3 linked regions of the Arabidopsis thaliana genome follow. The protein of the gene in region 3 interacts with the protein of the main gene of each other region in a pairwise test. Each region holds a gene or a part of one and is shown on either strand. Other genes may lie near its edges.

The links.
Region 1: the proteins of NRAMP2 (region 3) and SERK2 interact in a protein complementation assay, tested with the Arabidopsis thaliana proteins (one large-scale study listed by BioGRID).
Region 2: the proteins of NRAMP2 (region 3) and SUC9 interact in a protein complementation assay, tested with the Arabidopsis thaliana proteins (one large-scale study listed by BioGRID).

Annotation. Positions count from the first base shown.
Region 1 is NC_003070.9:12,456,700-12,463,405, forward strand, and holds SERK2 (somatic embryogenesis receptor-like kinase 2), read left to right. Parts: upstream 1-1,864; 5' UTR 1,865-2,378; coding exon 2,379-2,475; intron 2,476-2,883; coding exon 2,884-3,016; intron 3,017-3,099; coding exon 3,100-3,171; intron 3,172-3,422; coding exon 3,423-3,566; intron 3,567-3,795; coding exon 3,796-3,867; intron 3,868-3,961; coding exon 3,962-4,033; intron 4,034-4,268; coding exon 4,269-4,381; intron 4,382-4,568; coding exon 4,569-4,700; intron 4,701-4,790; coding exon 4,791-5,132; intron 5,133-5,267; coding exon 5,268-5,662; intron 5,663-5,738; coding exon 5,739-6,053; 3' UTR 6,054-6,206; downstream 6,207-6,706. Other genes in the region: AT1G34200 (Glyceraldehyde-3-phosphate dehydrogenase-like family protein), read left to right, coding at 1-236; AT1G34220 (Regulator of Vps4 activity in the MVB pathway protein), read right to left, coding at 6,403-6,706. UniProt on the Arabidopsis thaliana protein: Serine/threonine-kinase involved in brassinosteroid-dependent and -independent signaling pathways. Acts redundantly with SERK1 as a control point for sporophytic development controlling male gametophyte production. Serves as coreceptor to small peptide (e.g.
Region 2 is NC_003076.8:1,867,989-1,872,219, reverse strand, and holds SUC9 (sucrose-proton symporter 9), read right to left. Parts: upstream 2,430-4,231; coding exon 1,188-2,429; intron 1,091-1,187; coding exon 1,027-1,090; intron 671-1,026; coding exon 501-670; downstream 1-500. UniProt on the Arabidopsis thaliana protein: High-affinity sucrose transporter. Responsible for the transport of sucrose into the cell, with the concomitant uptake of protons (symport system).
Region 3 is NC_003070.9:17,308,192-17,313,548, forward strand, and holds NRAMP2 (NRAMP metal ion transporter 2), read right to left. Parts: upstream 3,315-5,357; 5' UTR 3,118-3,314; coding exon 2,546-3,117; intron 2,176-2,545; coding exon 2,039-2,175; intron 1,951-2,038; coding exon 1,298-1,950; intron 1,083-1,297; coding exon 852-1,082; 3' UTR 612-851; downstream 1-611. Other genes in the region: CYCA3;4 (CYCLIN A3;4), read left to right, coding at 1-10, 93-227, 313-396. UniProt on the Arabidopsis thaliana protein: Seems to be involved in iron uptake.

The sequences.
Region 1 (6,706 bases), 4.9 Mb from region 3:
CTGTGTTTACTACAAGTGGTGGAGGTTGTGTTAGTGAACATAAAGTAATGACTGAGCTTTCACAAGAGGCGTGTATGGTTATGGAATTTGCTCGGTTGGTTGGAGAAATCAAAAACAGAGGAGCTAAACCGGATGGGTTTTGGATGAGGTTTAGCCGGAATACGCAGTTGCTTGTTGATGCTGTGAAAGAGTCGATTGATAATAACCTTGAACCGGTGTTTCTCTCCGGCCGGTGAGAAAGAGCTCAGAAGTTAGATCAGATTTGTTTGTGTCGATGCTTTTAGTAGATGTAGTAATTAGGGGTTTATGTATGATATCTTCTCGGCGTCCGTTGGTGGAGAGGTCAATTAAAGATCTCCTTGGCGCATGGCTGCAAGCATTTCATCAATACATTTCATCCATCACCAAGAAATTCTAGGGATATATACTGCATAGAGCTTCAAAGACTTGGTGCAGTGTCACTCACGAGTTTTGCTGTGTTTAATGTGGCACCGGGGTTTGCTTGTAAATCTATACCTCCAGCTTTAATAGCAGAGGTAGTGACTATGGCTGGTAAACTTTGGCATTATGTGACTTCTTTCTCCGATGTGACATCTTCAGGTGTCCAAACAAAAATCTCTGCTCATAAGACAATATAAGTTCATCGACAATACTAGCTACTGTTTTGTTGAATTCACAATCTCTGCACCTTTCTTATATAGCAGCCACCTTGGATTAATTTTGTTTTTGTTTTCCTTTTTCCTATGGTTTATGATTCAGAAGTTTAGATTATACGTTTATTTACAAGAATCCAGAGAATGAGTACATAATTGACCAAAAATAAAAGTTCAAATTATTTTGATGTAGAATTATAAATTAGTATTTGTAACTATGTTTTTTTTTAGTTTTTTGAATTTTTAAAGAAGAAAAAACACACATGTCAATATTTGTTCGACAAATATTGGTATGTGTTGTGTTCACGTGAGTTAACAATTTTGAAAACTTATCTACATATACATTTTTGCAGCCATTTATGTATACTTATTTACATTGGTTGCCATTGGCTTTTAATTATTGGGTTTTTTTTTTTGGTAATAAATTGATTAACAAACGAAAAACATTCGAAATATATTTCAATCCTATATATCACGCAGATTTCTCCAAAATTTAAACTAGATTTTGGCAACTATTTAAAACAAAAAATGTTTGACAAACTAAAATACAATTGCAATCCCTTAAAATGAGCAAAACGCACCTAAATACATTTTTTACAATTCACTAAATCTTATTTCTCCAAAATTTGAACTAGATTTCGGCAACTATTTAAAACAAAAATTTGTTTGACAAACTAAAATACAATTGCAATCCCGTAAAATATTTATTTAAATTAGCGGTGTACTACAGGTTTTTTTACGGAACGGGTTTGGCAAGACGGGTTTGGAAGAACTTTACTTAATAACAATTGTAAACTATAAAATAAAAATGTTTTATAGATAGATATAATTTGCAAACTTTTATATATATTAATTTTAAAAAATAATTTGTCTCCGCAGTATACTGCGGGTTAAAATCTAGTTATAATATATATCCGTAAAGAACAATAACACAGTATGAATTTTTTTTGTAAGTTATTCGATTAAAAATTAAAAGAAGCAAATTAAATTAAATAATGAGCTACCAAAACAAATAAACAAAAATTACTTTTTTGTCTATAAACATGGAGTTTTGCCAAGAAATTGTAAATAAAGTTTCTATTCCTTTTTTGTAAACAAAAGTTGTGTATCTAATTTTCTCTTTTCCATAAGTTGTGAATTGTGATAATAATTTACAAGTTGACAAAGAAAGAAAAGATTTAAAACAAAAAAAATGTGATTGTACTTAAGATTTCAAAGGTAGCGTTTTGTTGTTTCTCTCTTCCTCTCTCTCTCCACTGGTACCAATCACGCTCCATTAAGAATTTAAGAGAGAGAGAGACTAAACTTGAGCCCATCACTTTTGTAGTGACTAGTGAGTAGAGTAGGCTTTTAGAGAGAGAGAGAGAGAGACGGCTGTTGAAAGATAACCACAGAACACAAAAACTCATTCATTAAGAATGAGAAAGAAAGTCCCAAAAACCTTTTTTGCTCTGAAAAAGCAACGCAAAGTTTTGAAAAATCTCACACCTTTTTCACTTCTCTGTTTGTAGCTGTTACCACTTGTGTTTCCCCTTTGGCATTTTTCTCGGTTGTCATTAATGAGAGTAAAATCATCATCAAGTGTAAACTTCTCTCTCTCTTTCTCTATCTCTATCTCAAAGCTCTCAACTTTGGAGAGATCATGGTTTGTGTTTGATTTCTCAAGTTTTTTTTTTTTTACCCTCTTGGAGGATCTGGGAGGAGAAATTTGCTTTTTTTTGGTAAATGGGGAGAAAAAAGTTTGAAGCTTTTGGTTTTGTCTGCTTAATCTCACTGCTTCTTCTGTTTAATTCGTTATGGCTTGCCTCTTCTAACATGGAAGGTTTGTTACTCTTCTCTTATCTTTCTTTATTATTTATGTGACTACTTTTGCCTGTTTTAGTTGGTACATGAGAATTGAAATTTCCATCTGGCACTGTCTCTGTTCTTCAAAAAGGACTTTTTAAGAATCTGATTCTGTTTGAAAGCTTCAATTTCTATAGAGAATTTTGTTCATAATCTATGGTTAGGCTCCTTTAGAAAAATCACAATTGATTTACTGTTTGATTCAATGCTATTTCTCTGATAACGACATGTAAAAGAAACTGTATTTATGTCACTAGCAAACACATTAAGAATGAGGAACTGAAGAAGTATTCAATGCAAACTGTTTGGTTGTTTCATGTTTGATTTGTTTGGTAAGTATTTCCTCTTTGCGAAAGGCTTAGGCTTTTGTTTGGTATATTAACAGGTGATGCACTGCACAGTTTGAGAGCTAATCTAGTTGATCCAAATAATGTCTTGCAAAGCTGGGATCCTACGCTTGTTAATCCGTGTACTTGGTTTCACGTAACGTGTAACAACGAGAACAGTGTTATAAGAGTGTGAGTGTCTCTCTGCTTATACCTGACCTGACCAATGTTCTTTGTTTAGCTTATTTAATCTCTGTTTGTTGTTGCTTCTTCAGCGATCTTGGGAATGCAGACTTGTCTGGTCAGTTGGTTCCTCAGCTAGGTCAGCTCAAGAACTTGCAGTACTTGTAAGTTTTTGCTTTGATATCTAAATGGAAGATGAATCGTTACTCTGTAGATAAACGAAAAGTTGATGGCATTGACTATGTGTAGCATAACTACTTTATTTCTAGAGACTTGTAGTTTCTCATACATGATATAGGCGAATATGGCGATTACACTGAATCTTGTTTTTTCATTTTATTAGGACTTATTCAATACCCATTTGTCATTGTACATTGTTAATTTTCTTCTGAGGGTGTGATACTCTTAATGGCAGGGAGCTTTATAGTAATAACATAACCGGGCCGGTTCCAAGCGATCTTGGGAATCTGACAAACTTAGTGAGCTTGGATCTTTACTTGAACAGCTTCACTGGTCCAATTCCAGATTCTCTAGGAAAGCTATTCAAGCTTCGCTTTCTGTAAGAACACTTAGTCTGCTCTTCTCATCATGCACTGGCTAAATGTTTTGCTATATTAGAAATTTACTGAGGATTAAATTCTCTTTTGGCTAAATGTTATTACTTGTTGGACATTTGAATAGAAGTAAAAGAAATTGGCTTTGTCTTTCAAAACACTGAATAAACTTGTTTGATTGAACTCTGGTATGGGAAGATGGTAATGTGGTCTGAGTTTTTGTTGCAAGGATAGTCGGCTCAACAATAACAGTCTCACCGGACCAATTCCCATGTCATTGACTAATATCATGACCCTTCAAGTTTTGTGAGTATTACTTTTCAATTTTACTTTCTGCTCTTCTGAACTTCTCACTCTTAATGGATCACCTGAGTTTTCCTTATTATCTTGCAAACTGCAGGGATCTGTCGAACAACCGATTATCCGGATCTGTTCCTGATAATGGTTCCTTCTCGCTCTTCACTCCCATCAGGTTTGATTGAATCCATACTATGCAAACATTAGTTACTCGCATTATGGGAACTGAGGCTATAAGTTAAGATTAAGCACAAGTGGCAATAAAATTTAAAGTCTGAACCTAAGTTTCTTTTGATCATCTTAACTCTTAAGTAAATTTACTCAATAGACATACTACATTTTCCAAATTCTATTACTTTAATTGGTGGATATGGAAATTATCAGCAGTTGACCATTGTTCTTCTGCACAGTTTTGCTAACAACTTGGATCTATGCGGCCCAGTTACTAGCCGTCCTTGTCCTGGATCTCCCCCGTTTTCTCCTCCACCACCTTTTATACCACCTCCCATAGTTCCTACACCAGGTAATGAAATGAAGCAGACAGTAAAATTTAGATCTTTTACCTTCACTCATGCTTGGAAAAACATATTGGATGGTTGTTATAGAGTTTTTTACTGGATTTTGACTGGAAAAAAGTCTATCTCACAGTTTAAGAAGCTTGTGATCAACTTCACTGGTAGTTAACTATTTTGGTAAAAATAAAATTTAAGGTGGGTATAGTGCTACTGGAGCCATTGCGGGAGGAGTTGCTGCTGGTGCTGCTTTACTATTTGCTGCCCCTGCTTTAGCTTTTGCTTGGTGGCGTAGAAGAAAACCTCAAGAATTCTTCTTTGATGTTCCTGGTAAGTCACTGAGTCTGCAATATCCAAGCTTTGTTTCATTTCAGAATTGGATTAGTATTTAGTACTTAATTTTTCAGTTCTGTGATGCAGCCGAAGAGGACCCTGAGGTTCACTTGGGGCAGCTTAAGCGGTTCTCTCTACGGGAACTTCAAGTAGCAACTGATAGCTTCAGCAACAAGAACATTTTGGGCCGAGGTGGGTTCGGAAAAGTCTACAAAGGCCGTCTTGCTGATGGAACACTTGTTGCAGTCAAACGGCTTAAAGAAGAGCGAACCCCAGGTGGCGAGCTCCAGTTTCAGACAGAAGTGGAGATGATAAGCATGGCCGTTCACAGAAATCTCCTCAGGCTACGCGGTTTCTGTATGACCCCTACCGAGAGATTGCTTGTTTATCCTTACATGGCTAATGGAAGTGTCGCTTCCTGTTTGAGAGGTAACCTTGGAATTTTAACTGTTTGTATCATAAAGTAGAAAGACTCCCACAATGATGTATAAGTGTTGTTTTTGATCTTATCCATTTTTAAAACTTTCCAATACAATTGAGTGAGCTTTCTTGAAATGATTACAGAACGTCCACCATCACAGTTGCCTCTAGCCTGGTCAATAAGACAGCAAATCGCGCTAGGATCAGCGAGGGGTTTGTCTTATCTTCATGATCATTGCGACCCCAAAATTATTCACCGTGATGTGAAAGCTGCTAATATTCTGTTGGACGAGGAATTTGAGGCGGTGGTAGGTGATTTCGGGTTAGCTAGACTTATGGACTATAAAGATACTCATGTCACAACGGCTGTGCGTGGGACTATTGGACACATTGCTCCTGAGTATCTCTCAACTGGAAAATCTTCAGAGAAAACTGATGTTTTTGGCTACGGGATCATGCTTTTGGAACTGATTACAGGTCAGAGAGCTTTTGATCTTGCAAGACTGGCGAATGACGATGACGTTATGCTCCTAGATTGGGTATAACACAGATCTTTTAGCACATATCTGGCTATCTCTCAAAAAGCTGATTTATCTGTTCATTTGGTCTTCTCAGGTGAAAGGGCTTTTGAAGGAGAAGAAGCTGGAGATGCTTGTGGATCCTGACCTGCAAAGCAATTACACAGAAGCAGAAGTAGAACAGCTCATACAAGTGGCTCTTCTCTGCACACAGAGCTCACCTATGGAACGACCTAAGATGTCTGAGGTTGTTCGAATGCTTGAAGGTGACGGTTTAGCGGAGAAATGGGACGAGTGGCAGAAAGTGGAAGTTCTCAGGCAAGAAGTGGAGCTCTCTTCTCACCCCACCTCTGACTGGATCCTTGATTCGACTGATAATCTTCATGCTATGGAGTTGTCTGGTCCAAGATAAACGACATTGTAATTTGCCTAACAGAAAAGAGAAAGAACAGAGAAATATTAAGAGAATCACTTCTCTGTATTCTTTATTTCTTTGGTAGAAAAATAATGTAGTCTCTAATCAAATCTTATTCCATCTATCAGCATTCTTCATTCATTTCTTGTGAAAACCAAGGCCTTTAAATTAAACATAATCACAAACACCAAGTTCTATACATTACATATGTCTTCCACTGGATAAAGAGGAAGAAAAGGCTATTCCAAAAAACATTTTGAGCTCTTTGTTCCGCAAGAGAAGGAACAGCACAAGTGAAACACACTGAAAAACACCAAGCTTGCATTATAACATATGCAGGTAAGAATCACGAATCATGGGCGGGTCTTGTATTGTCTGAGAACGAATGAGAGCCAGATGAGGGATCATGCTTCTGCGATGTGAAGAGATTAGGGTATGAGTAATAGGGATCATCTTCCATTGAAGGCAGTCTCATTTGCTGATGGTCCTGGTCAGGGCTGAGTCTGTCAAGTGGTGAAGTCTCTGGCCTTTGGAGCTCTGGCAGATCGCCATAGCTGCTGACTGATGAGTTCTGATGATCAAACTGCGGTTTCTCCATTGACGGGAATCTATGTGGTGTAAGATCGTCATAGTTGCTGCCTGATGAGTTC
Region 2 (4,231 bases), on a different chromosome or scaffold from region 3:
TAGGCCTTCATTTCTTTCTTCGCTAAACCGCGGCCGGTAAGCTTTTTGCTACCACACTCATCCATGTGTCTACTCGAGTCTTCCCACCTGCCCCGTCGTCTTTGTTTAGACTAAATTTATTTTTTTGGTCTTTGATTTCATTTTATTTTATTTTATACTTTTTTAAAGTGTATTATGTTTTTTTGAATATTTCATTGTTTCTACAAAATAAAATGTATCATGAATGAATTGTCATATAAAGGTAAAAATGTTAGATTTACAATTCCTATGCATAATATTAATTTTTTTTTTTGTTATTTACCTAGAAGTTTAAAATACTTTAATTTACGCAGATTGATGTTGACATAGATATAGAAGTTAAACAAAAACAAGAAGAACTTTTTAAAATTAAAACTTTAATTAAATAATGTAAATAAATATGCCACATGCTACATTAATATTAAACATGTGGATACATAACAATAAAAAAGAAGCACATAACAATAAAAAAAAAAAAAAAATTAAGGTAAAACGGTAAGTGCCACAACACTGCTGATTAGAGCTGCTATAGCTCCAACCACAAATCCAGGTAAGTTTCCACCTCCAAATAACGCATCAATTGGACCAACTCCAAACGATACAATCATTTGTGGTATCACTATTGCCATGTTTAAAACTCCTAGAGAGAGTCCTGAAAAAATGACAAAAAATGTTATCACTATCCTTATTAATCTGATAAACGCTTTAATAATAATCTTAAACAGAACGATTATGTATCTTATTGATACATTTATGACAAATTTTATATGGTGAATGAAAACCAACTAATAATTGAAGATGTAAACAGATTGTATAAAAATATCAATTAACCAATAAATTAGTACATAACATACATCACCCTATGTGAAAATATATACTCGATCGTTTTTCTTATAATTGGAAACTGATCTCTCCATTACCGTTTTTTGTGTTCACACATTTTAATTAGCATTACTATGAGAATGTAGGTTCAAATTAGAAACAAAAGGAGAGGTTAAAATTAAATACCTTGACCGGCACCGGAACTGCTTGAAATAATGGAAGCTAATGCAAATGGAATACTAAATGTAATCTATAAAATATAGCAAAAAATGGATTAATATTGTTAAACAAAATAATAATTCATGGATAATAGTAACAAAAATTGGTAAAAGACATGGTGGACTTACAGCAAGAGGAATTCCAAGAATAGCAAAGAGACTCAATGCTCCATCTCTGATGGCATTGGTAGGAAGGGCCATCCGACCAGCGATCTTCCGGTGCTCCTCAGCCTTTTTAGTAACCAAAACTGTCATTGCCAAACACACCGCGAGGATTATGTTCACAGCTCCCCAAAGCCTTTTAGCTCCAATTTTCTTACTAATCACTCCAATAACAAGGGACATGACTCCAAGAACGATAGAGTTAAGCATCAACCCCAACGAACCAACTTGGATTCCGTGGTTGTATAGTTTCTTCATTTTGTCATCTCCTGCTGAGTCTCCACCATACACTTCACGACCCATCCAATCGGTATCGTATAAAAGAAAAGGAAACCATGCGATCCAGTTCAAGGCCGTGACGGCTAGAAGCATCCACATTGGACGTTTCATCACCTTGAAAGCTCCAAAGATCTCGCCAAAGAAGGGAGTTTTCTCATTGTCGGAATCTGCATTAGGCGACCATTGCTTGTCTTCCACGTACCAAAGAGCTATGATTGTGAGGACTATGAGGAGAGTGATGGAAATAATGAAACAGCTCTTGAGATTTGCACAATAGATGTCGCATGCTTTAGTCACTGTGAAAGGGAAAATCTTGTGGAGGTTAGTGTACGATCCCGCAGCGTATCCCAAAACGTTTCCAACGGCCATGAAGAAAGAGAAAATCGCGTTGGCAGTTCGAGTTTTCTTAGCATCTCCGGCTGCTAAATCACCAAGAAAAGCACGGCAAGGTCCTTGAAGAGTGTTGTTAGCCACGTCAAGGATCCAGAAACCGACAACGAAGAAACCAACGGCTCTTATCTTGACAGCTTCGTCGAGTTTATCTCCCATGGTGTGGCCGAAGTCAGCCGCAAATCCAATTAGTATAACAGCAAGGGCAACAAGCAAGGCACCAGTGGCGATGAAAGGTCGACGACGACCGAATCTTGACTTGCATCGGTCGCTGAAGTAACCGACGGTTGGCTGGACGAGCAGACCGGAGATAGGACCACATAGCCATATGAAAGATGACCATTTGTGTGGGACTCCGAGAAGCTGAACGTATGGGGTTAGGAGAGAAAGCTGAAGAGCCCAACCAAACTGTATACCGGCTGCGATAGAAGCCACTGATATCATCTTTCTTAGAGGTGACGGCTCATCAGGAACCACAACCGACGAAGAAGACTGTCTATCAACAGGCGCCGCATCTTCTTTTGCTTGGATGTCACTCATAGTTTCTTCACGTTATCTTAAGAGGTTGTGTTTTGGTGATGGTGAATCGTGATAGAGGAGATGAAAAGAAACGGACTCGTCTCTTAAAGACGAGGTGTGGAAGATGAATGAGATTTATGTTTCTATAAACGTTTTGATTCTGTGTTTCATTAGTTAAGAAAATAAATCATTTATACTAAAGGATATAACGCAAATATCCTTATAGGAATTTGGTAATAATGACAAGACTAACTGAAATCAGTTTATTATCTTATCTTTACATATTCTGAGATCGTGACAGATTTCTTGTTTCTGTAATATGTTTTTGTTTACAATTTCTCGTCAAATTTGTTTTGTTCGTTTTCCTTTTTTAAATTTCTGTTTGCATCAAACCGCATTACTGTTACATATTATTTTGACTTCCTCCACAAGAAAAAGAAGGTGAAACAAATGATATCTCAAAACCCAATTTGGGTACGTTAAGTATCCAAATTGATTATGTCGTCAGTTACGAGCCTAACATAAAATGGTTAAGTATCCAAAATTCCAAAGTGATTATGTCGTAAGATATGGGCCTAAAGTCCATAAACGTGAAAAAGCTTCTTCGATTAAGGTAAAACAAGCAAGTTTTCACGTTATCTTCACTAGATATATGTCTATCAATATTGATGATAATATTAAAGTCAAATTTCACAAACCTCGAACGAAGCTGCAATGTCAAGCGAAGAAATTTGCCAGCAGCAGAGAAAACGAGAACATCTTCTTTCCAGCATGATTGCAAGCTCTCCAAAAGACTAACGCTCTGTCTGAGCATCAAGTTGCGGGAAATCGGGTTTATATGAGTCAGAAACCTGAATGAAAACAAGAGAAGCTGAGAAGCCACTACTCTAATGGCAAGTATAGCCATCTATGATAGTTCTCGAGTACCTCAGTGAAAAGTACACTCCCACATTCCATTACTTCATGAATTCAGTACATATCGCTTGAGAGTTACATCAGACCTTGACGGACAATAACTTCTTTCAGGATAGATTTTGCTAAGAAGTTGTCTGTTTTAGCAACAAGATACAAAGAAAAGAGTACAATGAGTGAAATGTAAAACGACATCATAGAAGGAAACAATGTCCAATTATGATTAATGAACAAGGTTGGTAATACATCAAAATATGAAGTCTGAGATGGATCTCGGTGCTGAAGACGGTAACTTTCACGACCTGACATTTTCGAATCGCTGTTTCCCCTCCCCTGTGCAGACCACCGGCGATGGAGGAGTTTGTCATATAGTGTCTCTGTATTTAGACTGCGTGCCGAATTAAAGTTATAGAGCAGAACTCCGTGTCGGCATGGCTCAATCCAATTCGGTTCGGTTCGGTTCGGTTTAAGTAAGAAGAAAAAAACTTGATGAATAAGGCGATTCTGGTCTTTTTGTTTTCTGTCTTGTTTTGCCTATAAGGCTTAAAATAACATGGGCTTAAAGCCCAATAGTCAATAAACGAGGATAAGCTTCTTCGACTAGGGTAAAACAAGTCTTCACTATATATACAATGCATCTTCGATTATAACCCCCAATTCTTAGATATTAGGGCTTATGTTCTAAATCGTGTTATTCGTATTTATCGTTTTTTTTTTAAATCGTTGCGCAGCCCTTAAGATCGCCTTCCACAAATGCTTAATGGAAGCGTGTCGAGTCATTGCTGCGCTAAATCGAAATTTATTAAGGGTTTTTGATTAGGGTTCTCCTAAGAACTAACCCAGTTTTTACCTTCCTGATTTATTATAGGTCGAGTTTTTTTATATCGGCATTAGATCTGGAATTAAGGTCC
Region 3 (5,357 bases):
ACATCCTTGGGTAAGCAAATTAAGAACCATGACAGGTTCTTATACAGAAAAAGTTCTTTATATTCTAAATCCTCTTCTGGTGATGCAAACAGAATCAAATGCTAGAAGAATACACAAAGTACAAAGCAGCTGATCTACAAGTGTGCGTGGGTATCATACATGACTTGTATCTAAGCAGAAGAGGAAACACTCTAGAAGCTGTTAGAAATAAGTACAAGCAACACAAGGTAAATTCAACAATTCAATGATGTAACTTTAAACTTGTGATATATTGCAACAAGAACATTCTAATATCTGATTCTCTTGGTACAGTACAAGTGCGTTGCGACCATGCCTGTTTCACCGGAGCTACCTCTTGCTTTCTTTGAAGATATTACCATTAGAGGAATGGCGTAAAAGAAGCTTGAAGCTTATGTATTGGAAGTGTTAGTTACCTGAATTTTGGGTTGTATATATCTGTTAGAATGGCAGATTAGTATTGAGTATTATCTCTTTTAGCGTATGTTCAATGATTTTTGCTAACACTAGTTAAGAAACTTTTTTTTTTTTGCTTGACCATTTTTTCAATGGTTTATTAGATTTTTATTGATTTGTTTTCTGCTTTTTTCTATGATGTAAAAGCCTCTTTAAATCATATTGGAATGTGCACATCCTCTTAACAAAAACAAAAAAGTACAACAAAGACTTTGCCACTACATATTTGTGATGTTAACATTCACAAAAAGCTAAGCTAACTCTTATCACCACTTTGGCGTTTCAATATGTATAAGACTATAGTGGATGAAGTTTGTTTACTGTATCTTCTTGACATGTAACAAATGGTCTTGAGGGCAGTTATTTTTGTGCAGCTACTAGCTATTGGAGACGGACACTCTTTTGGGAAGTTCTATGGAAGAGGATGACCAAGGAGAAGGAAAAAAGTTGCTGTGTGAAATGAGGTACACTATAAAGGCGATATAAGCAGTCGTCCAGACGCAGACCGTAACTCCAAACAGAAACCCGTCGACTTCTGATACAAAGAAATCCAACAGAAGATACCCATTGATGATCATTACAAGTGCAGCCACAGTCCAAGCTATTCTCTGCAATGTAATCAATAAATCCAATCAACTTACAAATACTCACTCTTCATGCTTCTCTATTCCATTGAAGGACTTTCAATTCTACATGTTTACTAAGATAATTGCACAAACAGTGAAACTAAAAAAGTCGAGACACCTAAAACGATAAGACTCAACACTAATTCACCTATTGTGGTATCCTATGGAGACTTGTAGTAAAAGAAGTGGAAATTTACCTGGAGAATAGGCCCAATCTTGAAGTCTCCCATAATTTCTTCTTTGGATACCAAGGTTAGAAGAGGGAGAAGAGCAAAAGGAATTTGTACAGACTGAAGGACATTGAGCCATTCATTCAAAACATCCAAGGAAGCTTCAGAAGTATTGAACACGATTGCCACAATCATTGTAGGCACAATAGCACAGCTTCTTGTTATTACTGCCCTCATCCATTTCTTAAGCCGGAGATTCAGAAAACCGCCCATTATAAACTGTCCAGCATATGTACCAGTTATCGTACTGCTTTGTCCGGCTGCTAACAACCCGATACCCCAGATATAAAGAATCGGAAGAAGCCCGCCTCCAAACTTTTCTTGAAGATACTGACCAGCATTAACTAGGCCAATGTTATTAGCTTTCTCAGTTCCATAAAACCCCTTTGCAAAGACAGTAGTCACAAACAAGTTAATCATGAAGGAGATGAAAAGTGCGACGGATGACTCGATCAAATAGTAATTAAGCGCTTCTTGAACCCGGGATTTCCTCTTCGGATCGATTTTCCTCGATTGTACAAGAGCCGAATGCAAAAACACATTGTGAGGCATTATAACACAGCCAACAACACCTACAGCTTGCCTAATTGTCTTTGAGCTAAGTCTCGGTAGTAAAATACCTATCCATAAACACAAAGATTTGATTTTTAAGCACTCAAATCAAAGCAAATAAAGTGAAATTCAAGAGTAAAAATCTGAAATCTTTACCTATCATAAGTTCTTTCCCACTCGGTTTTGTTTCACCAAACATCCAAGCAAAGGACAAACCCATAGTTGCGATCAAAACTGCAAAAACAGCTTCTAACTTCCTCACACCGTAATTCTCTAGAAACAAAAATAAAAAACTGTTTGCAACAAATTCATTAGCCAAGTTTTCAAAATACAAAAAAGCAAGTTTCTTAATTTCAGATTCGATCACAAATCGTTAAACCAATTCTCTACTGATTTGTGAGTTTGGATCATCTTAGCAAAGTTTTACAAGAAAACAGCCAAAGTAAAAGCAAATTCTCAACTTCAGATTGAATCATGAATCTCTAAACCAAGTTTCTACTGATTTGTGAGTTCGAATGATCCATACTCAAACTCAATACCGCTAAGATGATCCGCAAAGTTTTAAAATTTCAGAATGAATCATAAGATTCTCCAAACCAAGTCTCTACTAATTCTACGAATCCAACATCTCTAAAGAACGAATAGAGTATCGAAAGGACTCACCAATCGGAAGCAGTAATAACAACACCAGCCCAAAGAGGCAAGAAGCCACGGCTAAGAATCTGAATAGCAATAGCACTACCAATAACCTCTTGAATATCAGCACCAATCAAAGCAAGTTCCGCCATAGACCAAAGCACATACCTAGCCCAAGTAGGATACTCATCACGACAAAGCTCAGCTAAATGACGACCAGTAGCTACACCGACTCTAGCTGACAACATCTGAATCAACAACCCCATAGCTGTTGCCCACATTAGTAGCCACAACAGAGAATAGCCAGCGATTGCACCAGCTTGTAGATCTCCTTCTAGATTCCCTGGATCCAAAAACGCTATACTCATTAAGAAACCTGGACCGGTGAATAACCAGAGCTTCCGCCATGAGAATGGCGGTGGTGTGTCTCCGGTTGTTGGATCGTCGGGTGATTCGAAATCGACGATTAGGATCTTTTCGTTTGTTTCGAAAGCCGCTTCGGATTCGGAATCGGTGGATGGGAGAGATTGTGAAGGAGGAGGAGGAGGAAGAAGACGGTCTTCCTCTTCTTCGAGATTCTCTTTGACGTCGTTTTCCATGGAGGAAGAGGGAATATTCGGTGAGGGTTAAATCGGAATATTCTGTCGGTGGTGGTGGTGGTGTCGTCGACGTACCTGAATTTTGAATTGGAGGGATAAAAGAAGAAGAAGACGCAGGCACTTAATCAGATGCTTTTTAAAAAAGAGATTAATGCGTTTCTTTTTCGTAACTTTTTGGTACCAGATTCAACTTTATTATATTAATGCCTAAAAAAGAAGAAAAACTTTATGTTATAAATTTGCTTTGAAATTATGTATTTAGTGTAGTGTTGCCATAGTTGTATTGTCACAAATTTGAATAAAGCTTTGCTTTTTAATGACGTTAATTGAATACAAGGTAGTGAATAAAGTGTGTGTTTTATACATTTTTAGATCCATTGCTTGATCTATCTCTTCCTCTCTTTTATAGATCACAATGTGTGAAACTAAATATCCCACACCAAAAGTTTATTGAGTTTCCAATATAAGATTCATGATTAGTTTTTTAGAGCTTCATGAATAGCATAGTTGATATGATTGTATTACTCACATTCCAAAAATTTATGAGCAGAAACTCAACCATTGATAAAATGTTTTTTTTTTTTTGATGCGATGCAAATTATGAAAATTTAACCTCCTCATCCGAAAGTCTTTTAACTAGAACTCAGTTTTAATCTCATCAGAAATTACTGGTTTACATTCAATAAGCTTACTAAATTTTTTTGCTGAATTTTCCAAAGTGAACAAATCATGAGGATTTTTAGTTAAGTGAATATTTAGTGACTATTTTTCTTTTTTTCTTTTTTTTTTGTATCATGAGGATATTTAGTGACTAGTATTTTTGTCAATCCCTTCATGTGTGTTTTCATCACTCATTATTTAAATCATAAAAACATGTTATTCGTTTTTTTTGTGTGTTTCAACTTTCAAGCATGAACATAATTAGTATTTCTACTGTACCTTCTTTTACCATATTTCAATGAGTATCTACATAAAATAGCCATGGATTCAAAAAAAATTAAGAGAATAGCCATGAGCTACAGGGGTAAGTCGGAAACACATGTAATTTTACATGTATAACCTTAGACATCAAAGCGACAAGACACTGTTTGGGGAGCGTATGATTCTGGGTTTGAAATTTGAATTCTATTGCATTATTCGGCCCAAGTTTGTCTCACGACCAAAGTAATAACCCTAAAATTAAAAAAAAAAAAAAAAAAAAAAATTTTTCTCACCGAAAAAACCTCTCTCGGCGGCGATTAATTTCATCGTCGTTGCTCTCATCTTTTCGATCCAAGTAGTAGTTGTTTCTAGAAATTGATTGTGTTTCCGATTATCCTTTTCAAATCGTCTTCTCGTTGCAGTCGCCGGTGACAATCGAAGGATTAATTTTTGGTCTTCCCTCGCCGACGATTTGGGTAAGTAGAACCACTGATTTCCGATTATTTACAGTTGCTCTTCTTATTTCTCTTCCCCTATACCTTTAATTGCATGTCAATCATCGCTTGTGTCTAGATCTAAAGTTCGGTTCGTTGTTAACTAACCCTAATTTTGTTTCGTGTACTGTTGATGAATGAAAGTTAGGCGACCATCGAGAGTTTGCGGCTAAAGTCTCTGTTTTTTTTTTGGGAATCCTTCTGTGCTTTTTTGGAAAACACATGAGGTTTGTAAATATTGATGTGCTTTGTTTGAATAACCCACGAGGTTTGTAGATATTGCGTCCTTTATCTGTGTTTCTTACATGCAACTAACCCATTTTTTGTCTCTTACTATTCACGAAAGAAGATTAGGCGATATCGGAGGCTTTTGTGGCTGACGCTGTGGGTTTTGTTTGAAAAACACTTGAGGTTTGTAAATATTGTCTTTTGATCTGTTCTCTTTTATACTATACTAACCCAAATTTTGAACGTCTTACGTTCCATGACTGCAGATTCGGCGATATCGAGGATTTTGAACGTCTTACGTTCCATTCATTTTCGTTTATTTATCGCCGATCTTCTTCTATTTCTTCCCCTTTATACTTCAATTGCATAGAAAATAACGATTGTGGCCAGATCTAAAGTTCGGTTCTTTTTTCCCTCTATCTATATCTTCTTCTATTTCTTCCCATGTATACTTCCATAAGTATCTTGCATAGGGTTCTTACCTGTTGTGTCCAGATCTAAGTTTTGATTCTTTTTTATTTATTCTCTACTAACCCTCAATTTTTTCTTAATCTCTCTACATGAAGTTAGATAAGGCGAGATCTGGGAATTTCCTCA